Pelodiscus sinensis: one gene and its partners. The protein of the gene in region 2 interacts with the protein of the main gene of each other region in a pairwise test. Links are inferred from orthologs where the notes say so. Each region holds a gene or a part of one and is shown on either strand. Other genes may lie near its edges. The genes, in order: TBC1D22B, FXR2, FTH1 and RALYL.

Region 1 (7,053 bases), on a different chromosome or scaffold from region 2:
GGGTACCCCAGGTATCCACCCATTTGTGTTTTTATTTTGGGGTTCAAAGCACTTGATGGTGGCAGTGGGTCCCCCAAAATCTGGGTATTAGGATTTTGGAGGGAAGTTTTTGTACCAGAGCTTGTAGAGGCAAGGTTTTGGAGTACTCTTGTGGGCCCCCAACTTCTGCATTTATCCTGTCAGAGTGGGGAACAGCCGTGACAGCCCTAGAGAACCTCTTGGTGGCACACCAAGCTGAACACCAAGCTAGAGAACAACTGAAACTGATCACAAAGAGATGCGGTGAATGGAGAAAGCCCAAGTGCTTATCCAAACTTTGACATTATCTTCAGCTCCTTCCAGGGTGATCAGCACAGACTTGGGAAAGAGCCAGCAAATATGCAGGAAAAGATCCCAGAAAGGTTGGATAAGCAGTTCTTAAGTAATCTTAACCTCCGAGGCCATAAACCTAGCATCTCCTGTTTCCCTCCTCCACTCTCTGCTGACAGCTTCCAAGCGTGGGTGATTATAGCAGGGATTTAGGAACAGAGCCAGTACCACCACACACAGCTAGATCTGACAAACTATTAGCATGCTGGCCTTTTGGGGGAGAGAACAGTTTATCCAGTGCCCTAGTTTGAGTTCCGGGCTGGCTGGCTCCTACTTATTTCCCCAAACGGGTTTGCCTGGTTAAGCTCTCAAAAGCGGAGCTCAAAGTTGTTCGAGATGGAAAAAACTTGCTATCTTAGAGAGCACCCTCTGCACGGGCAGGATGTGGGCTACAGATAAGACATGTACCCGATAGTAAGATTATACTCCAAGACACGTGCATATGCAGAGTGGCATTCGTTTGTCAGAAAAAAAGGTGGAGCTGCGGGTGATGTCTGCAGCATCACACCACTCTCCCAGGTCTGGACTGTCCCAGCAACCTCAGTTTGAGCAGGGGGAGAGTGAAAGTGAGAGTGCATTAGAAAGAGAAGATTAACTGGCCAAGCAGGATTTAAAGCCAGTTAAGCATTTCAAAGGCTCTGCACGTGCACACCAGGAGGGGACTGCAGGGTCAAGATGAGATTAATGGCAGCGTGGAAACGGTGATGCCCATATGAAGCGCTCAGACTTTAACCTACCCTTGTAATACTCCTCACAGGGAGGTGGGTAAAACCTCCCTATTCCCTCGCTTTCTCCTGGGGATTTGCTTTGAATTTTTCTTTGGGAACCTTCCTCTCAAAGCCACAAGTGGGGAGCCTCTCCCCAGAGCAAGTTTCCTGCCCCCTGCTGTCATTAATCTATTTCAAGGCAATGGCTGGTGCAGTCCCTCCCACCCAGTAAGCCTCCCTTGCTGCTCCCTGGCCAGAGGAAGTGAGGTGGGGAAGGTGCCCCCCCAGACTCCCACACTTCCTGGGAAGCAGGGTTAAGAGGAATGCAGGGAATTACAATCTCACATGGGATACAAGGACACCTGTTCTGTTGGGAGGCTCTGCTGTCCAGGGCCGTGCCTGGCCTTGAGGACGAGGGGGGCACCTTGTGCTCTTAGCTCTGAAGTAGGCCTTTAGACACCCAGCAAGCTCCTCTCTACATTGCCCCCTCCCCACTTCAGGATGCAGAGGGAAGGGGAAAGGACTCACTGCTTCCTCACCCCCCCCCCCCCAAAAAAAAGCCAAACCAAACTGTTCCCGCTCCAGCTTGTCATCCCCCACTGAATGGAGACTTGGGGGATGCAGGTGCACAGAAGGTTAGTTAACAGGCTCCAGCACAGCCCCCCTTTTGTCACTGGCTCCCTGGTGAAGGTTGCAGCTATGCAGAGATACATATTACAAGTACCCACAAATGGATAGGAGAAGTGAATCCCATTCCCAGGCAGGTCGGCTCCTCTCAGGCCCAGCTGGAAATGATCAGTTAATGGACTAGTCCGGAATCAATCAGGAGGAATATAAAAGGGAGATGGGGGAGGGGGGTCAGGAGGGGCTGTGACTGAGGCAGGTGGGGGTGACCAGGTAGGCCGGGGGGGCATGTGACCGGGCTGGGGGTCAGGTGGGGGAGGGGAGTGACTGGGCCGGCGGGGGGGAATCGGGGGGGGGTGACCAGGCCAGAGGGGAGGCCAGGGGTCAGGTGGGGGGAGGGGAGATGAGCAGAGCAGGCCGGGGGAGGAGCGGGGGGTCAGGCAGGCGAGGAGGGGGAGTGGGCCGCAGAGGGAGGGGGATGACCGGGCCGGGGAGGGTGAGTCGGGGGGGTGTATGACCGGGCCGGGGGGGGGGGGCGACCGGGCCGGGGAGGGGTCAGGCGGGGGAGTCTGACCGGGCCGGGGGGGGGAGGGGTCAGGCGGGGGAGTCTGACCGGGCCGGGGGGGGGAGGGGTCAGGCGGGGGAGTCTGACCGGGCCGGGGGGGGGAGGGGTCAGGCGGGGGAGTCTGACCGGGCCGGGGGGGGGGGAGGGGTCAGGCGGGGGAGTCTGACCGGGCCGGGGGGGGGGGAGGGGTCAGGCGGGGGAGTCTGACCGGGCCGGGGGGGGGAGGGGTCAGGCGGGGGAGTCTGACCGGGCCGGGGGGGGGGGAGGGGTCAGGCGGGGGAGTCTGACCGGGCCGGGGGGGGGGAGGGGTCAGGCGGGGGAGTCTGACCGGGCCGGGGGGGGGGGAGGGGTCAGGCGGGGGAGTCTGACCGGGCCGGGGGGGGGAGGGGTCAGGCGGGGGAGTCTGACCGGGCCGGGGGGGGCGGAGATCTGGCGGGGGGGGTGGGGGCGAGGGCCGCACGCACCTGCCCGGCAGCTTGGCGCTCCGCTTCCAGAACTGCTTGCTGCTCTCGGCGGCCATGGCTGGGGCTGGGGCTGGGGCTGGGGCCGGGCCCCGGCCGGCTCCGGAAGGGGGGAGCGGCGACAGGTCCCGGAGCCGCGGGCCGAGGCCGCTTCACCTCCTCCCTCCGGAGGCCCCGCTGCCAGGCTCCGGCGCCGCCATCTTGGATCCGGGAGGGCGAAGCCCGGCCATTGGCTGCCTTGCTCCGCGGCCTCCAGCTCAGCCAATCCAGAGCCGGGATCCTGCAGGGTCGGGAAGCGAGGGAGGCCAGGACCGGGCAGAGGGGCAGGGCCTCGAGAGGCGGGAGAGACCATCTGTGCACTCAAGGAATAAACCATGTCCAGGGGTGGAGTGGAGCGAACCATCTCCTCTGAGAAGAGGTGGCTAGGTTAAACCATCTCCAGTGCTTGGAAGGGGACGAATCACCCCCCTTGGGAGAGGAGGGGGGAATTGGACAATTCCTCTGCCCTGGGGAGGAGGGACAGAGGGGATTAAGCCATTTGCGCTTGGAGGGAGTTACACCGTCTGCATTGGGGAGGAGAGGGTTAAACCATGTGCCCCAGGGAGGCGGGGTGGAGGGGGTCTGCATTGCTTGGGAATGGGTTAAACCACTTCACTGTGGAAGGACAGGTGGAGAGGGTTAAACCAGCTGCACTGGGGAGGAGGGGTCGTGTGGGGTTAAACACTTTGCACTGAAAGAGGGAGAGGGGTTGTGCAGTGGCTGGGCTCCCCTAGAGTTGGAGCTTCCATCTCATCTCCCTTTTCAGTTAAATGTCATTTCCCCAAACTTTCCATTGGGAGTCCTCAAACCTCCCTGCTCCCTCCAGTGACAGCTTGTTTGGCTGTAAGTTACATTTCTGGTACTTCAGGCTGAGTGTGAAAAAACCACTTTTTCTATTCACATCACAAAGTCCTGCAACTTCATTCTATTTTAGATGTTTCAAAGACTTCTACCTGAGTAGTTTAGGGTCTAATCCTGGACTGCATCAAAACAGAGCTCCCAGTCCCAATCTGAACCTGTGCCTCTTGGAATTAGGGTGGAAATCCATCTTGATTTGCTCACACTTTTAAAACAATCTTATTTTGCTCATGCAAGTGGGATGGAATCACACAAGGAAAATTATAACACTTATAAGGCACTTAGTTAGCCTGGTGATGAACACAGTACATACCACCCATGGGCAAATTGAAACATAGGTAAGAGAGATGGGTATGCATGACAATTAGATCTACAGATATTTCTCTCTCCTTACTGAAATGTTATACAATTTCTCTAAATTGGTAACTTTTCCATTGTCTTATTGAACCATGCTACTGGATACAAACAATAAGTAATTATAATCCTTATTAACAAGGAACTCACAGAAAGTAGTAATGCCATTTCAGATTTCAGTGGTGAAGGGGCAACTTTCAGTGGGGGTTGCTTAGCTCCCTAGAAGCTCTTGGATTATTTGAAGAATAAAAATATAAAAATCACAGAGAGGTTGCCTTGTTAGTCTGTAACTGAAAAAAATTAAAAAACAACTAATGTAAAAATCAGTCTATTTCAGGAGCATTTGTTGTAATTATTTCTTATATGTTTAAAAACAATTCATGTTTAATAACAATTTTGTCTTGGCAACCAAATGACCAAGACAGCACAAACAGGAAACTAAGCAAGCTGCAATTGTGGCATGCAGACCCAGTACCAAATAAAACCTAATTTTCAAGTTTATAACAACAAGGTCCAGAATATACAGACTTTCTTCCCATTGCAGATGTCCCAGATCAGTAACTATCAAACCAAATCAACAAACACAATCTAACCACTGCCCCCCGAACCTGGCCCGCTCTGCCAAGCAGAGATTTTAACTCCGAAAAGGACAAAGTGCCAGATAGTTTATCTGGGATGATTACTAGGGATGATAGGGTCACCCTATCATTTTTAGTTAGAAGGTTCTCAGACATCACAGCAAAGGGCAGCAGCATAAAACCTGTCAGTAGGTACAGACGTACAGCGCTTATCAGTGTTGTCTTCAAGGTGTCATTGTCAAGTCCAAGTCGAGTCTCACGTCACTACAGTTCAAGTCTCTAGTCGAGTCTCGTGTCCCTAAAGTCACTTTTGAGTCAAGTCCCAAGTCGAGTCTCAAGTCTTAATTTAAAAAATGTCAAGTCACTTTTGTACAAGCCGTTGATGTCGGCATTTTCGGACAATTTTTTCACCAAGTCGAGTTAACAAAATTAGCAAGTCTCAAGTCACAAACAATGAACCTGAGTCAAGTCTCAAGTCGAGTCACCTCGGCGACTTAAGTCGGACTCGAGTTCAAGTCGTGGGACTCAAGTCAATAACTCTGGTGCTTATACTAACCAGCTTGCTGGGCTGCTGACTTTACCCTGGCAGTTCTTACATGGCTCTGGCTGCCTCCAGCAGGGATACAGCAATTGCCAGCCAGGCCTGCTAACTGGAACCTCATAAGAGGCCAATTTCTAGACTAGTGCCCTGGCCACCAGACCATCTTTCTTTTCTAAGGCCTTTGGAACACACACATGCACGCACGCACACCTCCACACGCCTTAAATATTGCATGACAATTTCTGTGTCAGATAAACATTGCAAGGCAAGGCACCCAATGTCAGGGCATGCCAAAGTGACTGTTTCACAGGTACCCTTAACTCTGCCCCTGGCCTAGCTGCATTATTCATCAACATTTCAAGATCTCAGCACCCAAACTGGTGCCAAAATTCTAAGGAGATGGACAAAGCTACAGATGTGCTCAGCAATTCACTGCTCCCTTTCAGAACCATGGCCACTGCCTTTGGGCGTCTAAATGGAAGCTGAGCTCCTTTGGAGACAGACCCTGTCAAACGAGGTTTAATGACTCAGTCCCCTCACGGGAGCTCAGATCCTCAGAAAGTCTCCCACGGTGGCCACTTTTGAAAATCTGGACCAGGTTTATTTCTCCTACCTTGTTTTGTAAATAAATGAAAGGGGGTGGTTTGGCCACTAACACAAAGAGCTGGATGCGGGGACTCCTGGCTTCTCTGTGCACTGGCCTGCCCCCAAGTTTGCTCTTTGGACTCAGTTGAGGTAGCTAGGGCTTTTGCAGAGAGCCAGTCTGAGCACTCCCAGGGTGGACCAGGCCTGAGACTGGCTCTTCAATGCATCTCCTGGGGCTCTGTGCAGCACAGGATGTTAAAAGACTACGTGATTTAATGATTAACCAATCACGGTGCTGTGTTTTACTGTGTTATTAATGAATTGTTATCAGATTGCACTAAATTACTAAGTATAATTATAAATTATATAGTCTAACAGCAAATTAATTAAAAAGTTTTATAAGCTAAATATTTCCCTGTCATTCATATTCCTGTGGCTCTTTTGGGTACTGTTGATTGCTAATTTGGCTCTTAGGTCATCAAGGTCTGTGTAGCACTGTCCTAAACTATTGTTACGGGCTACAGACAAACTCTGAGGTAAAGAAACGTTAGCAATTCTGGAACAGGCATTTGGGGAGCATCCCAGCAAGTCTGTGCAGACACACAGTAACTGCCTTGAGTTAATTAGCAATTCATTTATTCAAGGTGAACAACTCAAGTGTCAACCTGCCCTTCTGACTGTCAACAAATCACCACCCTGCTTCGTGCCTCAGTTTCCCCATGTGTAAAGTGAGGCTCATGACGCATGCCCTCAGAAGAGCAGAGGGTTCCTTCAGTACTCTCCAAAGTGCTCCGAGGACCTCAGAAAGTGCTCTAGATTGGCAAAATGTTATTAGTTGAGCAGCAATTTGAGAAGGGAATGGGTCTGATTTGCCATTGCCCTGCATCATGTGCAGGCAATTACCCCAGGACTAAGTGAGCATAAAGTCAGGATGAACAGCTAGCAGGTTGATTTGCTTGCATCGTTTACCCGCTCTGCCTGAGTGTGACTTGGTTATGCCCAGTTTCCCTTTGACATTCAAGGGAGGGGAGGAGGTGTTAGACCAGGATTCTTATGACCAGATTTTCTAGCAGTCAGGAGCCCTCACTGGGGTCAGATTTTTCAGAAGAGCCAAGCACTGAGCCCATGAAAACCTGGTGGCGTTTCAATGCCCAAATGGGAGATGCCAACGCCAGAGGGCAGCACGAGTCTACCCTTGATAAGAAGCCAGGCCACTTTTATAACTGCACATTATGCTTCTTACAGGGTGTCTCTTTTCTTCTCCCCAGGTGCTAGCAGGAGACTCTGGCTGGAAGCGCGCCAAAGACAAAGGCCAACTTTCGATTCTGAACAAGAGTGAAAGAGAGGGGATAAGAATCGGTTCCCCGTCCTG
Region 2 (7,952 bases):
CCGCACACCATGTACCAGCCCGCTGGCGGAAGGATACAATATGCCCCACCCCCTTGGATGGCACCATTAGTGCAGATGGCACAGACAGACAGGACGGTCAGTAAAATGATGACATAGGCTACCACCAGCATAAGCAGCGACTGCAGGAACCCAGCATGTCCCACCACGAAACCTAAGAGATGACAGATAGGGAGCTGCAGGTAAGAAGGGAGGGGCATTGGCAGAACTGGACGGAGGGCAAGCCCAGAATTCTGCCCTCTATATAGCTTCCAGGATTGGGCCCATCCACATGGCCTTAGGGCCCACATCCCGGTTAAGCACGAACCTCTCCTGTTTAATGGTGCTCACCTTTAGTAAGCCACTAATTACAATAAGGAATTGGCTTTCAGTGCCCATAAGGTACAAGTATGCAGGCACCAGTGATCTAGGGAATTCCATGCCTTATGATGTCGATGGAATGTATGCACAACCAACCCGGATGAATCAGTTGCTAATTGTGACAAGAAGCTGAACAGCCAGCTGGGTTGGAGGCAGCAAGGGGTAAGTATGGGCCAAGCCCCCATTAGCCCACCACATGATTTTGGCCGGAAATCAAGCATGCATCAGTGGGGATGGGGACGGAGGTTTCCTGCTATTCTTAAGGGCAGCACACAATGTGGGCAGGGGATGGAGGGAGAGAATCCTATGGGAGGCAGAGAAGTTTCCTTTGGGGGGGGGGGGGAGTTGAGGAGGGAGAAGAGGGCTTTTGCCAATAACCATGCACTAATCAGCAGGGTAGAGTCACTCACCCACACGCATGAAGACAACGATGCTGAACATGGACAACACTGTGGGCACCACGACGCCAAAGAAAGTGGAGAGCCGTCGGGCCGGGTCAGGCTGTGGGGGGCCCAGGGGGCCTATGCCCCCACCCACGAGGGGTGCCTCCTCTTGGGCCCGGCTGCTTGGCATCTCCCCCTCGTCCACCACGCTGAAGAGCCGGTAGCTCAACAGAGGGGAGCTCTCAGTGGACATGGCAGGGGGGCCTGGTCACCCTGGGAGAGGGGAAGGAGGCATTATTGGCAAAACCCCTCTTCTCCCTAGTTCTCCTCCCCAGCTCCCATGCCCCTCCTCAGGCACCCCTGCAATCCCTCACCCCAAAATCTAGCTAGATCATCTCCCCTTTGGCCTGAAATTCTACAAACACCAGTTACATGGTCTAGTCTGCCATACTGCACAGGGCTGGGAATGCCAGCCTTAAAATTGCAGAGATTAAAAGGAAAAGACTTCAGTCCTGCTGCAATGCACAAGCATGCTCTGAATCCCACTGTAGATCTGCCTTTGAAATAAGGAGAGAAAATTGGGTTTGTACCATACAAACCTCCCCAGGTGCTTTATTTAACAGGTAGAAAAATTTATCTGTGTTTTGATGCACAAAGCAGATGGCTGGGAAACTTCAAAAGACAGCTAAGAAAGTGGGTTTGAACTCTTAAAAAATACCAGGCTAGATTCTTATGATTAAATGGAGACAGGAAATGCACACTCTTGTTTAAAAGCTCTCTCTGAAGCAACTTAAAAACTGGGGTATGAACCTTTAAAGTCAGCCCGGTTTGGGAGCAATCAACGAGGAGAAAAATTAATCCAAGTCAGATGCAGGAAAGAGCAAACCAAATTCAGGAGACACCCAATGGGCGTGGATCCTCCAAATTCAGCCCCCCACCCCCAGAGATGGGGAGGACACCCCTGTTCCTGGTTTCTCTTCTAGGGTAAATGGGTGGGGGTGGGGGCAAACTTCTGGAGGGCGGAAGCTCACCGGCTGTAGGCTGTGCGTCAGGCTGCCCCCGAGGACTCAGGGAGGAGACAAGGAAGAAGGAGCTTATGCTGGGAGAGGATCATTTAAGCCGGCGCGTTCCTAGGAGGGCGGGCCTTAGCCCCCAGGTGGAAGGTAGCTGAATGGAGGAGATTAAATGGATTTCCTGGCCACCAGACCCACCCCCTTCACAGCGCTGGGGAGAGAGGAACCCAGGAGTCCTGGCTCCCAGCCCCCGCTCCAACTCACCAGCCCCCACTCCTCTCCATAGGCCAGAAAGAGAAACAGGAGTCCTGAACCGCCAGCTCCCACTCTTCTCCCAGAGCTGGGAAGAGAACCCAGGCGTCCTGGCTCCCAGCCCGGAGATGCACAAACCTTTAGTTGGGGATGCTCTGGGGTGGGGTCGATGGGGAGGGGGGGGAGGTGGCCGGGTCCCTCCCCTAGCTCCATGCAGTGCTCTCCTGAACCGGCGGCTGGGTCACAGGCTGCTCATGTGACGAGCCCCCCCCCTTCCACTCCCGCCCCCGGGTGTGACTTAATGGGCGTCTGTGAGCTCAGATCCTGCCCCCCCTCCACAGTGTCCTCCTCCAGCTCTTCCTCCTCCCTTCCATCCCTGCATTCGTCCTCATATACATCCATCCTTCTCCTCCTCTCTCCTTCCTTCTTCCCATCTCTGCCTCTCTCTCTCTCACACACACACAGAGCTCTTTCTTCTCCTGTCCTGCTTCCTTCCTCCCATCCCCACATCCAGCCTGTGCCCCCCCATGCACACTCTCTGCTATCACCCCTGTACACACACATTTTCTCTGTACACACACACACACACACGCTTTTCCAGTTTACTGGTACAGAGCATTGGGTACATAACAAACATACGGTACACACCACTGTGTAAACACACACACAGACACTTTCCTGGTACACATGCACAGTGCTGTGTAAATAAACATACACACTTTCTTGGTACACAAACACACACTTGTGTGTTACACACATTACTGTGTACATGCATACATGCTCAGTACCCACACACAGTACTGTGTACATACACGCTTTCTTGCTACACACAGAGTACTATATATACACACACTTGCCCGGTACACATGCACTGTGCTGTGCACACATACACACAATACACACAGACACAGGGGCTGGTTTCTGACCCAGCCTGTGGTCCTGTGGGGAGGGATATTTGTGGCACCCAGGAGGCCATACAGTGACCCTGATAGTGGGACCCTGACCCGACCTCAGCACCTCAGATCAATTTGACTGACTGTGGCTGATGGGTCGAGGCAACGATACCCAGTCACCCCTCCCCAGGCCTGCTGGTGCACCTCAGTCCTGCCCCACTGTACCCCACCAACATTCCTGCTCCTGTGTATGTAGCCATGTCATTTACCATCCTTCTGCCCTGGAAAGCTCAGCCCCATGTGGCAGGTTGTGGTGTTGAGCTGAGCAGTATCTGAACATGGTGCTGGGAAAGATCCAGGCTCCAGACCTCACAATCCCAAATCTCTCCTGAGCCAGCCTAGCCCCAAGCTGCTTAGTGCCAGAGGCTGGGACCCTGTGGGGCCTCCTGTGCTGGCCACTGTTGTAAGGCAGGATGCTGGGCTAGAGAACCTTATTGGAAATCCTGGGAAGCGGGCAAGCCTAAAGGGACCCTTGTGGTCATAGGGCTGGATAGAGAGAGCAGTGGTGAGGGGAACAGATGGATGGATAGAGGGAAGTATATGGGGTTAGATGGGTAGACATGGGGATAGGTAGATTTCTCAGTATTCAAATATCTTCCGAAAATCAAAATTTTCCCACTGAGACCAAATCCTCTTTGCTTGTTTTTGCCTGCCTTTTCTGGCCTGACTGTACTTGTGAGCCTGCAGGGGGCACTCCTGTCATGTTTCCAAGCTATTCTCTCACTCCTAGATCCCCAGGCCAGCAGGGATCAATAGCACCACCTACTGCAGAGCTCTATCCTAGTGTCTCCTCACGATGCCTGGACACCCACCAGGGTGGATCCCCAGTGTGCTCCGTGCTGTACAGTGCAGGCTGGAGACGTTCCCCTCAGTACTTTCTACAGCTGGTCGTTCAGAAAAACAGTCCTTGATTTCAAAATGGTCAGTGAATGAGAATCCGGATAGTGCAGTTATGGTCACTCACCATGAGACCGTTTTCGGTTCCCTGTAATTTTGCCCAAATGTAATTATTTGGGGTGACATTTTTCAGACCTTCAGCTGAATTTTATGAAGCACATTTCACCTAACAAGGATCAGTCAGAATCATAGAGTCCGTCGTCCCACACCCACCAAGTAAGTGCTGCTAAGGCGTCCTCATTGGAACCATAGAGACTGGTCTCTCACACCTCCCACATGCAGCCAGAACGCCCCAATGGAACCATAGAATCCACCCCCTCGCACCTGATGCACTCAGCATATGGAATCATTCAGGCCTTGGATGACCGGGGCGGGGCGCTCAGGGATTGTGGGACATGGGGGTGGTACTGGGAGATTGTGGGATACCAGGGAAGCCCACAGAGCCCTAGAGGACTGCGGGATGAGGGTCTAAGGAGACTGGGAAGTTGGGGGGCTCGGAGGCCCCTGGGGATTATGGAATACGGAGGGGCTAGAGGCCCAGGGAACTGTGGGATATTTTCCCCTTTCCCACCATGTTCCTAGGCCGTAGAATGCCGGGGGCAGGGCCTGGGGCCCCAGCTGCCCCATTTGATTGATCTCGCAGTGCAGCCAATTCGGAGCGCGGAAGCCGCGCGGTTGGGGGCGGGTCCCGGCCCGTGATTGGGTACGGGCCAAACGCTGGGCGTTTCTTGGTTTGGGAGCGGGGCGGGGCCAGGGTTGGTTGCCGGTGTAGGTGGGAAAGAAGCGGGGGCATGCTGATTGGTCAGCGGGAGCAGGGAGGCCCACCGATTGGGTGTCCTGGCAGAGGGGCGGGGCGGGCGCGCGTCCTTGGCGAACCCGACGTCTTCTCGTTGGGAGGTGGGGCTTGAGCACGCGCCTAGCTTAGCCACGCTGGTCGCGATTGGTTGGTAGTAGAGTTGCGTTCTTCCATTGGCCAGCGGACCTGGGCTGGCGCTCGGCGATTGGTGGAGCGGCGCGCGCGCGTGCCCCGCCCCTCCCGGCCGCGCCTGCGCGGTGTACGCGCGCGAAGGGGGAGGGGCCGCGCGCGCGGTGTGAGGCGGTAGCGGCGGCGGCGGGTCGGTCCCTGCCTCACGGTGGCGGAGCCGGAGCGGGAGCGGGAGCGGGCCGCGGCGCCTCCCATCCCCCCCCGGGCCAGACCCTGCGGCGCTGCCTCCTCCCCCCCCCGCGGCGCCGGGCGGCTCCCGGGGCCTGGGCCCCTCCCCGGCGGGGCGGCGGTGGCCGGGCCCATGGAGGGGCTGCCCGTGGAGCTTCGCGGCTCCAACGGCGCCTTCTACAAGGTCAGCGCGCGGGGTTGAGTGGAGGGTTGAGTGTCTGGCGGGAGTACGAGACTGGTGGGCAGGCCTCGGTGTGGGGAGGGGGTTGCACAAGGATGGGGGCCGTTGGGGGAGATGCTACTGGCAAATGAGGGAGAGGAGGTATATGAATGGGTGGGGGAGACTGTAAAGGGTTTTGGGGAGGGTGTCTGGTGAGGGTGTAAGATTGGAGAGGGTGGGGAAGGCCCCGGGTGGGAAGAGGTCATACAGGTGGGGGGGTCTTTGGGGGGAGTGTTTTGTGGGAGGGGGGAGGGTGGCAGGGCGAGGCAGGCCCCAGGGAGAGGAAGGTCAGAAAGGCGTGTGGAGGGCCGTTAGAGGGAGGGGATAGTGGAGAGTGGGGGAAAGAGGGAAGGCAGGTCATAGAGGAGCTGGTGGTTGGAATGGGAGGCGGGGGAGGGTGTCTAGTGAGGGGGGCAGGGGTATTCCTGTGTGGCGGGAGGGGAGATCACAGAGGATTGGGTGGCAGTGGAGTGTGTAGGGAGGATGTATGATGGGGTGAATGGCGAGGAGGTAGTGGGGTGTTTGGGAGTGGATGTGTGATGGGGTGAAGGAAGGTGGGGAGGTAAGACAAGGCATGGGTAAGTGAATGAATTGTTGAGGGCCGGTTAGGGAAGTTAATTTTGGGTATGATGAGGAGATGGTGGGAAAGTAACTGGGGGAACAGTGGCGTGCAAGCCACGTGGTGGGAGAGGCTTAGGGGTTTTTAGATGGAACAGGGAATTGGGAAGGTTTAGAGAAAGGGGTGGACTACTGGGGTCCTGGGGTGGGGCTGGAGGTAAGATGTGGGGTGACTGGAGGATAACTGTTGGGTGAGGGGCATTATGGGAGAAGAGGCTGGGTTTGCGATCACCTGAAAGAGTAACTGACAGCAGGGAGAATGGAAACTACAGCTGTCAATATGGAGACCATAGTGAGAAGCAGGTAAGTGGATGGGGCTTAAGAGTAAGATTTGAGGGGGGAATAAAATTGGAAGGATCTGGGCAAAAGTGGGAAGTCTAGGGGTGTAAGTAACTGAGGGGGTCAGGTGGCTGCGGGCTCTGAAGCAAAGGGCCTTGAGGTGTTAATAGCAGCTTGGAGAGAGAGGGGGAAGGACTATGTGGGTAAACATGTGGATGGTGTGTGTCTGTGTTGTGGGGAGGAGTGGGAGGGAATAGGGAAGGTGTTGGAGCATGACTGAAGGACTTAGGACCCTGCATGGCTCAGTAAGGACCTATGGGATGGGCACACAGAACTCTCCCCTTCCTTAGCATTGAGGTTTTCCTCTCATAGGGATCCCATGCAGTTTTTGTTACTGAGTCACTGGGGATTGGAGGTCCTCCTAATGGTGGAGAGTCACTGAGCTAAATGGGCATCCTTAAGGGCCCTGATTCAGGTGGGCGTCAAAACATGGAGAGAATGCAGCATGGCTGTGGGAACCCCAGTTTAGCCTGTGGTGCACTGTGCCTTCCTCCCCCTTGTCTCTAAGTTCTACATAAACCCGTTTGTCCCCACACACACACTCCAATTTTTTCCTCCTTTTTCTCTGGACCTCTTAGAAGTTTTGCTTCTTCATTGTAGTTTTTGCATCGGACTCTCCTTTTCCATATCCACTTTCCCATGTTGCCTCTCTTCTAGAACTACAAGCACAATTATTTCACAGATCCCTTCATTTTCCCACAGGAACTCCTCCTCAGTGCTCCTTCTCACATTGTCTCTCAAGCCCAGCCCTGCCTCCTAAATCCAGCTATTGCAGGGCTCAGAGCTCCCTTCCTTAACAAAAATCTGGGAGGGTTCAAATCGTGCCACTGGCCAGTCAGGTTACAGTGATCCTAACCTTTATTGTGTCCAAGGAAAAGAAAGGCTGCAGTACTCTCCGAATCAGCCAGATGTTTGTTTCAGCTCTTCTCTGCCAGAACTCCACAGGCAGCTGGATGTGCCTTGTATGGGACTGAAGTCACTTGAATAGCAGAACCCATCCCTCCAATTTCTAATGCCTAATCAAGTTGATGCTGTGACAAGTGCTACATATTAGTATCTGATGCAAGATCCCTTAATGTGATCAGATTGCATCCCACTCTATTCTTTGTGAATGGGCCAAGGATTTGAGTTCTCTTGTTTCATGGGGAGAGGAATAGCGTGATTTGTAGCCCCTTCTACAAATCTGAGGTCATATTCTTCTTAGACTGACTTGAAATCAGTGGAAATTTCTGTATGTTCACTTATGCTATGGTGGGGCCAGTTGTTCAGCATTCATAATGTACACTATGTGTGCACCATCCCTGTCTAAACAGAGCAGGGGAGGCAGAACAACCTCGGAAGTGAAAGGATTTGCTCAACTCACACACCAAGCTGGTCAGGGCTTCTGGGAATAGTCTCTGAGTTCCCTCTGTTGTCCTTTCTGCTAGATCTTGCTTTCTCTCAAGTGTAGTTTTTAGGCCAGAGCAGGATGGGCAGTCAATATTTCCTAGCTTCTTTCTGAGCCCTAGAGCCATTGTGGTGGTTTCATGTGATTGCCTCCATAATCCCTGATGGCTGAAAATACCTGTGAGGGTGCTGCCTTAAGGAAGCAGATTTTGTTCTTGAATGGCTTTCTCTTACTGCCACAGAACAAGGTTGGATAAAAGTTTGGCAAGCTGCGTTATTTTCATCTTTGAAGACTGACCCTATCAAAACTCATAAAGCTTGGTTATTCTCCAAAAATGTCTTTGTGACCTGCTAAACCAA
Region 3 (7,144 bases), on a different chromosome or scaffold from region 2:
CAGGGAGACGGGGAGCGCCTCGGCTGTCCCGCTGCTGGCGTCCTCTGAGGCTTTGCTCCCCGTCTCCCTGGTCTGCTGGTCTCAGTGTGTCTCAGTCCGCTGCCCGCATCTCCCTGGTCTGCTGGGGGGGGGGGGGCGCAGCTAGTGCGCACCCCCCCCAGCAGACCAGGCTTTTCTCCGGACGCCTGAGGTAGAGCAGCTGGGGCACTGCTGGTTGGTCCCGCAGCGCCGCTCTGGGCGCTACTGGACCAACCCGGCAGCACCCCAGCTGCTCCGCCCCAGGCGTCCTGATTCAGCCTCTGCTGGTCAGTTTCAGCAGCGGGTGAATCAGGACGCCTGGGGCAGAGCAGCTGTGGTGCTGCTGGGTTGGTCCAGTAGCGCCGAGGAGCAGCGCTACTGGACCAACCCAGCAGCACCCCAGCTGCTCTGCCCCAGGCGTCCCCAAGTCAGCCGCTGCTGAAACTGACCAGCGCTGACTACAGGATCAGTTTCAGCAGCAGCTGACTTGGGGATGCCTGGGGTTCGTAAGTTGAATCTGTATGTAAGTCGGAACTGGCGTCCAGATTCAGCCTGTTGAAACTGATCAGCGGCTGATTCCAGGAAGCCCGGGGCAGAGTAACTCTGCCTCAGGCTTCCTGTAGTCAGCCACTGGTCAGTTTCAGCAGCGGCTGAATCTGGATGCCAGTTCCGACTTACTTACAGATTCAACTTAAGAACAAACCTACAGTCCCTATCTTGTACGTAGCCCGGGGACTGCCTGTAATTATAAAATTGTTATATTTGAATTTTGGATGTATGAAGGACATACTATTATAAAAAGCCCACAGCATGAGGTTGGAAATGCTACACTTACTTCACTGTGTCCATCTGGGTATAAAGAAGTGTAGGAGGAAGAGTCCAAGATGTGCCCAATCCTATCAGTAGGCGTAAAAGGTGTCATTAAAGCTAAGGTTTACAACTGTGAAACCTACAATCAATTAAAAAAAACCAGAATATAAAAGAACCAATGAAACCACATGACAACCTTGATCACCTTTAGGCTAAGGCTGGTACAGAACTATCTTGAGTTAAATGGAAAAGATTATTTTTTATTGCGCCTATGTTTTTTAACTGAGCTGTTGCACAACATTTCAGGTAGCAATGTTATACCACATTGTAAATCACAGTTTGTTCACTAAAAGATTGTAGAAAAGTAAATAGCACTGGCCCCCAATTCACAGGTAATTCATTTTGGCAATTCTTTGTTATATTAAGTCATGCACAGTCAAAAGGATTAAAAGGCAAGTCAACACAAAAAGGAAAGAACTTGATTCAGGAGAACTAGCACTTTGTAGGTTCAATATTCATATTTCTAGAATGTGGCAATGCGTTGCACAATTATTGTTTTAGGGTCACCAGTTTAGAGACTCATGAGCAAAAGAAGAAAAACGTTAGTGTGAACATCTGGCAAGCTTCTTGAGCCAAATATAATAAAAAACCTGAACTAGTCACAATGAAAGCAATATGTCAGGCAAGTAAAAGCAGGTAAAATACTGAGACAAGAATGTCACAGAGTGAGTTATTTTATAAGTGAAGGAAAACGTAAGTTTTCAAGCAACAAGAGGCTAGCAACCTGCTATAGTAATTGATCCACACTAAGGTCATATATGATAACCACATAATCTGATGATCAGACCTACAAGAAGACAGAAGACATCTAAACAAAACCAAGAAGGATATTTGCTCTTTCCTTAGCACATCCAGAATGCCTTTGACTGTATTTCTGTTCTGAAAATGTAACACACACGCACACCCAATGAAAAGAAGTAGTCATTATAAGCTCTATATTGTGGATCCATCTTAATGACTGAAGAAGGTCATTACAACAGGAACTGTTTTGAGAACAAGAAGTGAACATTTGATCAGAAAAACTGCTGAGTTTCAGTCATGGTGATTTTATCATGGGTCTCCTGGAATCATGAAATTATTTGAGAATCTTAGCTTTCATTTTAAGGAAATGGAAGTTTCTAGGCTGTGTGTGTATGACCACAGGGCATCCTCAAGGCTCAGAAACCAGAAAATAAACAAAGAAAGCCCAAGATTTATTGGTTATTTAAAAAAAACCTCTTGATTTGAACATGTGAGTTTGGCAATACTAAATAAGACACAAAATAGTCCTCTCAGTTGTCAGGCTAGGTTTACGCTAGACCTGGCAGCTTGGCTTAAGGTACGCAACTCCAGCTACGTAGAATATTTAGCTGGAGTTGGCTTATCTTAAGCTGAGCTTGGCAGCGTCCACACAGCAGGAGGCTGATGGAAGCAAACGCTCCAGTTGGCTTCCCATATTCGTCGCGACTGTGAGGAGTACAGGCGCTGGCTGGAGCTGCCTTTAGCGTTAGATTTATGGTTCTATACTAGAGCCTCTGAATTGAATGCCAGAACATTGATCTCCGGTGCGGTGAGTGTAGACATGCCTTCAGAGAGCTCGGATTGTCTGCCCTGACCTTCATTCATGACTTTTCAATTACTATTTTAATAACTGGCTGGTTTAGTTTGTGGTTCTTATTTTAAACAACATTATGTTTTTCTGTGCATTTAATTTAAATAAGGAAAACTCATATGACAAAGCCATTAACTTTTCTCACTCTGACCCAGGTCCAGTGACTTGAAATAAAATTTAGTTTTTTAAACTGAACTCTTGGGTGTCATACCATTATTACATCATTGGTGAGCTTTACCAATGTGACCTCTTTCTCCTGTAAATTATTAACATAAAATCATGCATCCTAATTTGGATGGCTTCAGGGCCCCAACAAAAGAATTACCTTCACTTTGAGGAGTAGAAATTGTTTACATCTCAATTAATTCCCTATTGTTTGATTCCTTTGTAAGACCCACTAGGATTTTGATTCAAACTTTATCATTATTATTTTCCGTAAGAGCCTTTTTTCGAAGATTGTCAGAAGTTTTTTTAAAACCCCAGTAATCCTCCAATCAGTCATTTGTAAATAGTCTTCTGTACTGATATAGTTCAGACTCATAGTTTGAAATCTGCCCTTTAAAGTGCATTGTCATTGTGTTACGTCTCTAAAATCACTGTCCGGATATCAAATCTAAATGAGCAACTGTCATTGTCAATGAATCATTTACATTCATTTCCTGTACAACTAAAGCCATCGTCAAAACAAATTGACAGAAAAACAATGGTTATGTATGGGATCAAGAAATTACTTCTCCCCAAAATACGATATAAGTGTATATCGTAGTTAAACAGCCTATTATTGTTATTCTAGAAGAATATGCATCTACGTTTCAACATACTCAGGGCCAGATTCTGTGCTGTGTTTACTACTAGATGACTCTGCTAATTTCACTCTGGTTGTACAAATGTAGATAGGGAGTAATTTGGCTTCAAGACCATTATATGGACTATAGTAAATGACTCTGGCCATTCTGGCTCCTTGGGGTTTATAACTGAGCAGATTCAGTCCTGAAAAAGATGTAATCAGATTAACATGCATTTGTCTCACACCAGGAAACAAAAGTAATGGCTGGGAAATGATACATTAAATCTCAGATTAAAGTATGAAAAGGTTTTCTTCTTTATATTTTAAACCAGAGGTAAAAGCAATGGTATCAACGCATGGCTGTAAAGTATAAACTTAAAAAACAACAAATAGTCTGGTAGCACTTGATAGACTAACAAAACATGTAGATGGTATCATGAGCTTTTGTGGGCACAGCCCACTTCTTCAGATGACCAGAGTTTTGAGGTTAGGATGTCCAGATCCAAAATAAATAGAGGAGAAGGGGTAAGGAAAAAAAATGGAAGGGTGTAGGAAACAAGAAGCAGAGGGTATATAAATATCAAAGGGAAAACCAAACAGGCAAAACTGGTAATCTATAAGCACCTAAAAATTGGATAATTAAAAAAAGCAGATAAGGCTCATAGGATGGCAATTAGATAGGAAGGGTACTAACATAAGAATCTACACAGATAAAGAGCTGTTCTCACCTTGGTTGTTTTTTTGTTGATAGTGATCCTTGTAGAGGAGGAGTTATAGAAATGCAAAGTATTATTAATTATTATTATACAGCGGTGTGGGTGTGGATGGTCCAATATATACATAGGTGGCCCATGTCATCTTCCCAAGAAAGCGACATTCTCCATGGGACGGTCTGTCATTGAGAGAAAGTACGTGAGTATGTGCGCCAGCAGCGCCACTCTTCCAGAGAAGAAGGAATCCCAACAGATAGTCCCCTTAAACTAAAGGGCTGTGTCTAGACTGGCAAGAAAAACTTGCCAGGTGTCTACACTGGCCGCTTGAATTTCCACAAGAACACTGACTTATTGTCTAAAATCAGTGCTTCTTGCGGAAATACTATGCTGCTCCCGTTCGGGCAAAAGTCCCTTTTGCGCAAAGCTTTTGCGCAAAAGGGCCAGTGTAGACTGCTCAGATTTGTTTTGCGCAAAAAAGCCCCAATCGTGAAAATGGCGATCGGGGCTTTTTTGTGCAAAAGCGCATCTAGATTGGCAACGGACGCTTTTCCGCAAAAAGTGCTTTTGCGGAAAAGCGTCCGTGCCAATCTAGACGCTCTTTTCCGCAAACGCTTTTAACGGAAAACTTTTCCGTTAAAAGCATTTGCGGAAAATCATGCCAGTCTAGACGTAGCCAAAGAGTTTGGGCTGGGAGGGGAAGGCCAGAGCTGGTTCTGCACTAAGGCTGATGTTGTGTGTGTATGTCTGTGTTCTGCAGGTACACGAAGGGCCTGGAGATGCAGAGGTGTGCCAAGGACCAGGATGTCGAGCAGACAGATGAGGAAGTGGCAGCACTGGTTAGCTGGGGTGCAAAGGCTACTGAAGGGATGGGGCCCACTGTCCTTGCTGGGCGGGGGAGAGGGTTGGGAGAAACACACCAATGCACCAAGAAAAAACAAGGAACGGTCTGGTAGCACTTTATAGACTAACAAAGCAGGTAGCTGGGATCATGAGCTGTCGTGGGCACAGCCAGCAGCGGAATCTGCTGAGTCACGCTGAGCCAATAGCTTCCAGCCGCTGAGCGCGGGGCAAATCCCTTCAGCCGCTCTCCTGTCCCCCGCCCCGCTCGCTCCCTCCCTCCTGTTCTCTGCGCGCGCACCTTGGGCGGGGCCTCCTGACGCGCGGCGACGTGCATATATAAGGCGAGCCGGAGGCGTTCGCCCGTTCAGATCGCGTCACCCCCAGACAGACCCGAGCCCGGAGGTTCCTGCTTCAACAGTGTTTGGACGGAACCGCTGCCGCTCGGACCCCTCCTCTCCGCCTCCTCTCGTCTCCTATAGTAGTAACAGCAGCAACAGCAGCGCCGCCGCCATGTCTTCTTCTCCCTCCCAGGTGCGCCAGAACTACCACCAGGACTGCGAGGCGGCCGTCAACCGCCAGATCAACCTGGAGCTCTACGCCTCCTACGCGTACCTCAGCATGGTACGTGCCAACCGCCCGCGGCCCGCGCGGAGGGGTCGCGCGGGGGCCTACGTGCCGCGCGACAGGGCGGGGTGGGCTGGGCCTGTGATCCCTCGGGAGGGAGGGGGACGAGCCTCTCCGGGGGGGGGGGGGGGGGCGGCGTTGTCGTTGCCGGGCCCGCGCGCGCCTCCTTTGTTGCCGCGGTGGGGGAGGGGTACCCGCTGGGGGGCTCGGCCCAGGCCGCGCGCTGCGGCTCGGGGGAGGGGCCTCCTGGTGGCGCCGCGCCGGGCTCGGCCCCCCGTGTTTATCTGCGCGGCGCAGCTCTCGCACCTGGGCCTCCTGAGGGCTTCTTATCGGCTCCCGCCCTCCCTCTGCTGCGGGGGGGGGCGCCTCTGCCGAGCTGCTCTTGTGCCTGTCGCCTGTGGCGGGGCTTCTCCCTGCTGGCGCGCTGCAGGGCTAAGCCCGCCAGACGGTGGGAGCGCAGCCCCCGAGCGTGCGGGTAACTCCTCCGAGCTGCTCCTTGAGGGAAAGGGGCCGCTTCAAACTGGCTTGATGGTGGGTGGGGGGGTTTGGAGCACGGCTGTGGCGCTGTATGAATTGCTCTGGCAGCCTTTAACAGCTGGCTAATCCAGGGATCACGCTTCAGACTTGCTTGGCATTTGAAATAAAAAAAGAGCAGGCTTTTGTACTTTCCTCTGTACACACCAGACCCTAGCTCCCAAATGCGCACCTTTGCTTTTAATCTCTCCAGTAGCTTGTAAAATTAACATTGCTAGACCAGTACGTCGAGACTCTCTTGAAGGATCCCTCTTCAACTCTGAAGTTGATCAGAATCTTGTAGACTTTCAAATGGTCCCCCTCTCCCCCCATGTATTAATTTCTTAACTGTACCTCAGTATCTTTTTTGAGGTCAACAGAACATGCTTTAAAAAACTTTCAGAGAAGAAAGTACTAGCTGGTGTAAAGAGGTTAAAATGTGTGTAATTGTGTAAATGCCAAGCATTTCAGTGGTTTCATGGTTACATAAGGGGCAGCAGCTAGCTCCCTGGCTAGTACAGATAGGGATGTTAAGGACTAGTTGACTATGGATAAGCAAATGCTTATCAGATAGTTAAGTAGTGGTCCTCCCCTTCCCCCCCCCCTCCCCTGTCAGGAAGAAGGGGTGTTGCAGCACTGCTGACCCTGGGGGCTCCATATGGTGTTGCCCTCTTGAAAGGCTGCAGTGGCATTGCTGCCCTATCAACTAATCAAACAGTGAATTACATGCTACTTAACATCCTTAGTACTAACTGCCACCCATCCCTGCAGACACAGGGCAGCAGCCAACTCCCTGGGAGAGGGAGGGAGGAGCCCATGCATGCTAAGATCTGGCTTTTAAGCTGGTTCGGAGGCAGAAGTGCAGGGAGGCAACTGCCTCCTTTTATACTGCGACACACTTGCATCCCGTATCTGGTGCAGTCCAGTGCTCAAAACAGGATTCATTTTAGCCCCCAAAAATGATCAAAATGGCAGTTCATCACTTGATTTCTCCAAAAGTGAGACCATAACTTGCTACAAACACCTCTTGTTAAAAAGGGGTTTAGCAAAGAACAAATGTGCTTCAGCCCCAACTACGTTCAGAAAGTTTTTGGGAGCTTTAAACTATTAATGGAGCACAAGATACTGATCGGTTCTGTATGGCTTGTTTCTGATGGCAGCAAAGTATGGTGCTCAGAAGGGAGACAG
Region 4 (7,078 bases), on a different chromosome or scaffold from region 2:
AGTTACTGATACAAATCTAATCCTTACAAGCCTAAATCAAGGCAGAAGTCTGGGACTTCTTAAAATGTGAGTTATTGACTCTTAGTAGATTGTAACTACTCCAAAAACAGTATTATAATCTATCATGTAAATATAGTGATTTTTTGAAATATGGATTATTAACTCAATAGCAAATTAATTCTGTGTTGTTGTAAAAGCCCAGCAGGCATGTAGAATAGACACTTTTCTACACAATATAACTAAATTGCAGGGACGAGGGGGGGGAGAATCAGTTTAAAGAGCAAAGTATTTGCAAGTTCCAGGAAAGTAAATATGTATACAAAGTTTCTAACTTCCAAAGCATTTTAGTCTTATAAATGAAAAATAGACAGAATATTTCTTTTTACATCTACAAAAAAGTATTACGTAAAAGATGCTTTGTTTTCAATGCTTAAATGCTGAGGAAATTTTTCTGACCAAGTTTCCCTGAAATCTATTCATAGAGAATACACTCAACAGCATCATCACAATAAAGTGTATCACGCATAAGACTGCAGATTCAAGCATTCAGCACCTCAATTTTGATAAAATACTCAGCTCTCTCTTTCTGGAAAAAACTGAGATGGAAAACGCTTTCAATATCATATTTAGTATATCAACTTCTCTAAATCCAGAACAGTTTAGGAGCTTGTTAAGCAGCTAAGTCCTATTAAAGCAAAGTAACAGTTTCTTCCCTAATCTTGAACTTTCAGCGACAGTCAGAGAAAAAGTAGCTGATTCCTATGCCCTGTCAGACAGTAGCATTAATAATCACCAAAACAAAAGGAAACACCTCAAAATATGTATCTGCTTATAATTAATCACTACCCCAATGAGGTAAACCTGGCAGAAATGACCTGCTTTCTGCCTTGATTAGTCCTTGTTAATAAGGGGAGCATAAATTAGAAATAAGAGGATTGTTATCGTTATGGATTTGGAATATGTGTCAGACTCATATGGCAGTGAGCCAGTTTCTCTGACGGACTGCTGCTGCTGTATCTCTCACAGCCACCTATGATTTTATAATAGGCATTTTTTAAAACTCGAGTCTCTTTCTCTCTCTATTTCTCTCTCTTTTCTTCCTCACAATCCAGTCCAGTTATTTTTAAGCCCTAGACGCTCCCTGCTCATAACTTGCATCTCCCGGTTCAATTCAGGTTTGTCAGCTGGGTACCCGCATGTCTAGGATAGTACATAAACTATCACACACAGACTAACCGACCTGGGCTCAATTAGTGCAGCATTTTGGACACATTCGAGTAATCAAGAGGCAGAAATTTAGTTTCGTCTTCATTTAATTGAGAACACATATTTAGCGAGGGATCGAGAATTTTACATAATTATTATTAATAATTATTATTATTCTCGTAACGTAATTTACAAAAGAGTGGAAACGCCTACAAGGAGATGAAGTACCTGCACTGGGGAGATGTTCAGTTGTTCACTTCATCTTCCGTTGACAAGGAAACCAACCCGCACTTCATTCTCCAGGAAAACCTTCCACTGCCATCATTTTAAAATGTATTTATTTGTATATATGTGCATATCTATCATCATAATCATCATAATAAAATTATCTCGGTAAAAGAATAAAAAAGTCAAATGTGCAAAAGTAACGATCATTGCTTTGGCTTTTTTGTTTGTTTGGCTTTTTTAAGGAGGAAAAAGTATTAAAAAATGATCAACTCTAACAAGCTGCAAGAAAAGTTTCACGTTATAAACGGGCATCAAAGCAAAAAAGAACAAAAACTGCTGATTGCACCGAGTGTCAAAAAAAGGAAACAACCAAAAATAATAAAATTAACATCTTGCTCAGTGGCCTGCACCAGTATTGCAAGATCACAAACTCTTTGTAAACACTGCTGTAAAATGCATTTGCAATTCACATCTATATACAAAAAAAATAAAAATAAAAATGAAAAAACATCAAAACAACATTTGGAAAAATTCTCTGCAAAAGAGTTAGAAACATGCCTTTTCTCCTCATCTTTAAAAAAACGCACAATATTTCACATTGCTTTCTTTTTCTCGGGCCATAACAAAACCAGTTGCATATCTAGAGCTAGCGCTAATAATTGTATATATAGCTATATTTTTGCTGGACTGGTAAGTCTTAAATGTTATTGCATTGCTCAATTCCCAGTGACTCCCAGCCCCAGCAGCACCTTTTGCTCACAGTCTAGTAACCATCGCATGCTAAGAAGAAGAAGAAAAACAAAAACAAAAACAAAAAACTTGGCATCAGAAAAAGGATCAAATCCCTGGAAACAATAATCAAAGAGGAAGAAAAAAAGAAGAAAAATAAAAAAGGAAGAAAAAAACAGGACAAAAAAAGAGGACAAGAATGTCAGCGGAAAGGTACTCACCGAGCGGGAGTAAAAGAGAGGAATAAAAATGAGTTACTATAAAATACAGTATGGCGGTGGAAGAAGGAATGAGGCGCTTCCCCCCCCCCCCTCCTCTCTAGTCTCTGCCTCAGGCAGCGGACACGTGATTCGCAGCCAGGCTGACTCGCAGGCAGGGGGAAGGGGTTCGCCCCGCTGGAGCAGCCCAATTCACTCCCACGGCGGTGGCGGCGGCAGAAGCGAGCGGGAGGCTGGAGCCCGCAGCTAGCGGCAGGAGCTGGCGCCTCGGCTGCTTGCGCGGCGGCAGCAGCGCGAGCCAAGCAGGTGCCTCTCGCCCCAGCGCCACGCGCCGCACACACACCCACCCACACACACACACCCGCGCGGCTAAGTCAGGGGCGCGGGCGAGCGAGGCGGAGGGGAGTTGAAAGCGGAGACCGTGCGAGCGGGAGCAGCTGCCTGTGTGTGTATGTCGGAGCTACAACTTGCTGCCTCCTCACCTCAAAGTTATCGCTGCAGCTTCCGGTGCTCCCAAATTACCTGCTCCATAAATCTCCCCTTCTTTCTAGGTTGCCGAGGGCCGGACTGAGTGGCAAGTGTCAGTGCAAGTCAGCGCGTCTCCAGCGCCGCTCGCCACTGCACGGAGGCAGAGAGGCTGAGCGGTCGGTAGCTGTACTTTCTGCTGGGGATGGCTCGGCTCCGGCCAAGTGCAAGCCCCAAGCGATGCTTGTCCAGAGCGTGCTCACATGTTCACGTTTGCAGCTGGACAGAAATTAGAAAGTGCCGAGAGACGCGTTCATTATTTCTCTACTTTGTTTTTGCTTTCCTGGCCTCTGCTCAGTGTTTGCCTTGGTGCTGAGGGGGGCTCTTGTTTTTAATAACAAAGTTATTGGCAGAGGCAAGTCAAACAAGTGACTCCAGAAGAGCTGTTCTGGGAGAGCGCTTTGCAGGCAGCCTGTGCTAGGCAGGGAAGCAGCAATGCATCATCACGCAGACGGCTAGTTCCTCGGCAGGTTAACTCTTTCAGCTGGATGGTAGGTGAGCCTGTTGTTCCGCATCCTTGCTCATGTTTAACGGGATCCTGTGTTAGCTAAAGGGCATTCCCTATAATCAAGGATCCCTTCCTGTGCCCCTCGCTCTCCTGAGGTTTTATTCAAGAGTGACTAAAGCATGGTGTTCCAGACTATAAAGTAAGCAAGAACTATCCCAGGCTGTCACTCATACTTAAGACTGTGTGAGAGTTGTGTAGGTTTTTTGTTTACTTCAGAAGGGGCCATCATGATCATCTAGTCACAAAGCTATGTGCATTCAAACCAGGAATACACTGTGGGGGAAGTCTTCAAATCTAGGCTATATCTACTCTGGGAAAGATTGGCAACAAAAGTGTGGTCAACATGCAAAAGTGCCAAAAGTGAAAAATGGTCCAACTGGTTTTTCTGCTTCCCATTGTTGACATTCCATGGCCATATTGCTAGTACCTCCATGGACCCGCATCCCACAATGCAGTGTGTGGGAAGGCAGAGCTGATACCTGTGCTCCTTAGTTCTCCCACAACATTCTCAGATGCTGAGAGCAGCTCTGTGAATTCTCCATGCAGAGGAATGTCAAAGCAGCACAGCAGTCTCTCCAGTCTGCCCCCTGCAGTAGCAATCTGCCTGCTGCTGTGTTTCTAGCGGGACAGAACAGAAGCATTACAATGATTTGCTCTTTGTTTTTTCCCCAAACAAAGCAGCTCATTCAACTGTCGGATATTTCTCAGGGCTTTGAAAGATGAGGGGTGCATGCCTGCAGGGTAGCAGAGCTCACAAACCACAGCCATGGAAGCAGGCAGTGTGACAGAGGGAAGTCAGTTCTCTGGGGAAAAAAAGCAAACAACAGAGTCCACACTAGCTCTTTGTCGAAAATAAAAGGAGAGGAAAAGACAAAAATCTCTGGCAGGACTGGAAGTTTTTTGTTGCCAAAGCTAGATGTTTTCCCCAACAAACGTAGCACTGCAGTGTAAACACGCTTAATGTTTTGTTGCTAAAAGGCAGTTTTGAATGACAAAACATGCCAGTGAACACAAGACCCTAGATTTAAAGACTCTTAAGTTACCCACCATTTATTTTAGTTCAAACCAGCAAGTGATCTGTGTTCCATGCTGCAGAGGAAGGAGAACTTCCCTCCCCTCAGGTTTCTGTCAATCTGACTTAGGGAAAACAATCCTTCTCAACCCCAAATCAATTAGCTTAGGGGTGGGCAATAATTTTTGACAGGGGGCCACTCCAAGATTTTGGAAAGTGGTCAAGGGCCGCACTCTTCCATGATGTTAATGGAGGAGATGTGGAATCTGGGATGGAGGTAGGGTACAGAAGGGAGCTTGGGGTAATTGATTGGGATGCAGGAGGAGATTAGAGTCTGGGAGGGAGTTTGAGTGAAGGAGGCAGTTGTAACCTAGGGCAAGCAACTGAAGTGCAGGGCTTGGGGATGTGACCTAGAGTAGGAGGGTAATGTGATCTGGGAAAGAAGATTGGGGTGCCAGATCTGGAGAGGGTTTGGGTGTAAGAGGGGGACAGAGGGTTTGGGTATGTTGAGTGGGAGTCAGAGGGTTGGGGCAGGAAAGTGCTGGGGTGCTAGAAACAGGGTGTGGCCAAGAGACTTGCCTGTCAGCTGCCAAACTAGCCTGCCTGCCGAGCTTAAAACATTTCCCAGCCAGCCAGCCTGCTTCCCTGGCCATGTGCTTCATTGAATAACTGAGCCGAGAAGAGAGAGCATAGTTCTTCTTGGCTGCCTGTTATACTAACAAACAGCTCCCATTGGCTGGTTTCTAGCCAGAAACCAGCCAATGGCAGCTCCTGAAACTTCCCCCTTCCCTTCCTGTTTCAAAACAGAAATGGAGCCCTGAAGCCTCATTTGTAAATGGCACACGGGGCTGCAGGGCAAGCAGAGGAGCCTGCCTGGGGCTCCCTGCTCCCTCAGCGGGTCAGATCTGGTGGATTGGTGGGCCAGATCCATGCCACAGGCTGTATTTTGCCCAGGCCTGAGTAAATCCTCCACATTTGGGCAAGACCCACCAGCCAGATGCAGCCCTCCTTGTCTATTGTCTTCTTTCTGTCTTTTAGAGATATTTACTAATAGCAGTCATGAATGGGTCATGTGTCCTTGTGGGTAGTACAATGATTAACATCATCATCAACCATCCCCTCCATAAACTTGTCAAGTTCTGTCTTGGAACAATTTTTTTTGTTTTTTTGTTTTGTTTTGTTTTGTTTTGTTTTCCCCACAGTTTCCCTTAGAAGGCTCTTCCAAAATTTCACTCTTTGGATAGGCCTCAGAGGAGAAGTCATGCTAGTTTTTATCTGTAAAAATGTGGAGTCCTGTGGCATCTTAAAGATTTATTTGGGCATAATATTTCGTGGGTCAAAACCACTTTGTCTGATTTATGGAGTGGAAATCACAGAGGTAAGAAGTAGGGATGTAAAGGGCTAACCAGTTAACAGACAGCCCACCCGGGTTGGAGCAGACCCCCACCTGATGCAGCCTGGGGGGCGGATGCAGCCTTGTCATGGGCAGCGGTCATTTTAATCCAGCTGAGCCCACCATGCCATACCATGGCTGAGGAGTGGTCAGCCCAGCATGACAAGATAGGCCTGGCCAGGCTGGAGCAGCTCTCCAACCATGGCATGGTATGGCAGGCCTCGCCCAAGCAGCCGGTGGCATGGCAAGGGGCCACCCAGACCAGCTGGGCCCCCCGCCTGCAGGATCCTGGTTAACTGGTTAAATGTAACATATAAACCTCATATAACATATAAATGTTATGTGTAACATAAATGGCATTTTAGTCGGAAAATATATATCTTACAATAGATTTTAGAAATGTGTGTATGTCTGTCTATCTGCCTGTGAGTCTCTTCAAGAACTCCTACATAAGAACGGCCGTACTGGGTCAGACCAAAGGTCCATCTAGCCCAGTATCCTGTCTACCGACAGTGGCCAGCACCAGGTGCCCCAGAGAGGGTGGACCGAAGACAATGATCAAGCGATTTGTCTCCTGCCATCCCTCTCCAGCCTCTGACAAACAGAGGCCAAGGACACCATTTTATCCCCTGGCTAATAGCCTTTTATGGACCTAACTTCCATGAATTTATCCAGCTTCTCTTTAAACTCTATTATAGTCCTAGCCATCACAGCCTCCTCTGGCAAGGAGTTCCACAGGTTGACTACACGCTGTGTGAAGAAGAACTTTCTTTTATTAGTTTTAAACCTGCTACCCATTAATTTCATTTGGTGTCCTCTAGTTCTTCTATTATGGGAACTAATAAATAACGTTTCTTTATCAGCCCTCTCCATACCACTCATGATTTTATAGACCTCTATCATATCCCCCCTCAGTCTCCTCTTTTCTAAACTGAAAAGTTCCAGTCGCTTTAACCTCTCCTCATATGGGACCCGTTCCAAACCCCTAATCATTTTAGTTGCCCTTTTCTTAACCCTTTCCAAGGCCAAAATATCTTTTTTGAGGTGAGGAGACCACATCTGTACACAGTATTCAAGATGTGGGCGTACCATAGTTTTATACAGGGGCAGTAAGATATTCTGGGTCTTATTTTCTATCCCTTTCCTAATAATTCCTATTTGCCTTTTTGACAACCGCTGCACTCTGTGTGGAAGTTTTCAGAGAACTGTCCACGATAACTCCAAGATCTCTTTCCTGATTTGTCGTAGCCAAATTAGCC

Evidence for each region.
Region 1: the proteins of FXR2 (region 2) and TBC1D22B interact in binary tests that used the Homo sapiens proteins (3 or more experiments, as listed by UniProt). The link is inferred for Pelodiscus sinensis from reciprocal best matches to the Homo sapiens genes FXR2 and TBC1D22B.
Region 3: the proteins of FXR2 (region 2) and FTH1 interact in binary tests that used the Homo sapiens proteins (3 or more experiments, as listed by UniProt). The link is inferred for Pelodiscus sinensis from reciprocal best matches to the Homo sapiens genes FXR2 and FTH1.
Region 4: the proteins of FXR2 (region 2) and RALYL interact in a two-hybrid assay, tested with the Homo sapiens proteins (2 studies listed by BioGRID and IntAct). The link is inferred for Pelodiscus sinensis from reciprocal best matches to the Homo sapiens genes FXR2 and RALYL.

Annotation. Positions count from the first base shown.
Region 1 is NC_134737.1:16,850,298-16,857,350, forward strand, and holds the start of TBC1D22B (TBC1 domain family member 22B), read right to left. Parts: upstream 3,005-7,053; 5' UTR 2,786-3,004; coding exon 2,730-2,785; intron 1-2,729. UniProt on the Homo sapiens protein: May act as a GTPase-activating protein for Rab family protein(s).
Region 2 is NC_134734.1:9,203,906-9,211,857, forward strand, and holds the start of FXR2 (RNA-binding protein FXR2), read left to right. Parts: upstream 1-4,952; 5' UTR 4,953-5,213; intron 5,214-7,952. Other genes in the region: SLC12A9 (solute carrier family 12 member 9), read right to left, coding at 38-172, 789-1,014. UniProt on the Homo sapiens protein: mRNA-binding protein that acts as a regulator of mRNAs translation and/or stability, and which is required for adult hippocampal neurogenesis. Specifically binds to AU-rich elements (AREs) in the 3'-UTR of target mRNAs.
Region 3 is NC_134714.1:124,702,408-124,709,551, forward strand, and holds the start of FTH1 (ferritin heavy chain), read left to right. Parts: upstream 1-4,127; 5' UTR 4,128-4,148; coding exon 4,149-4,174; intron 4,175-4,736; coding exon 4,737-4,815; intron 4,816-5,175; exon of another isoform or gene 5,176-5,329; coding exon of another isoform or gene 5,330-5,350; coding exon 5,351-5,440; intron 5,441-7,144. UniProt on the Homo sapiens protein: Stores iron in a soluble, non-toxic, readily available form. Important for iron homeostasis. Has ferroxidase activity. Iron is taken up in the ferrous form and deposited as ferric hydroxides after oxidation. Also plays a role in delivery of iron to cells.
Region 4 is NC_134712.1:47,014,466-47,021,543, forward strand, and holds the start of RALYL (RNA-binding Raly-like protein), read right to left. Parts: upstream 3,001-7,078; 5' UTR 2,864-3,000; intron 2,688-2,863; exon of another isoform or gene 2,385-2,687; intron 1,522-2,384; exon of another isoform or gene 1,435-1,521; intron 1-1,434.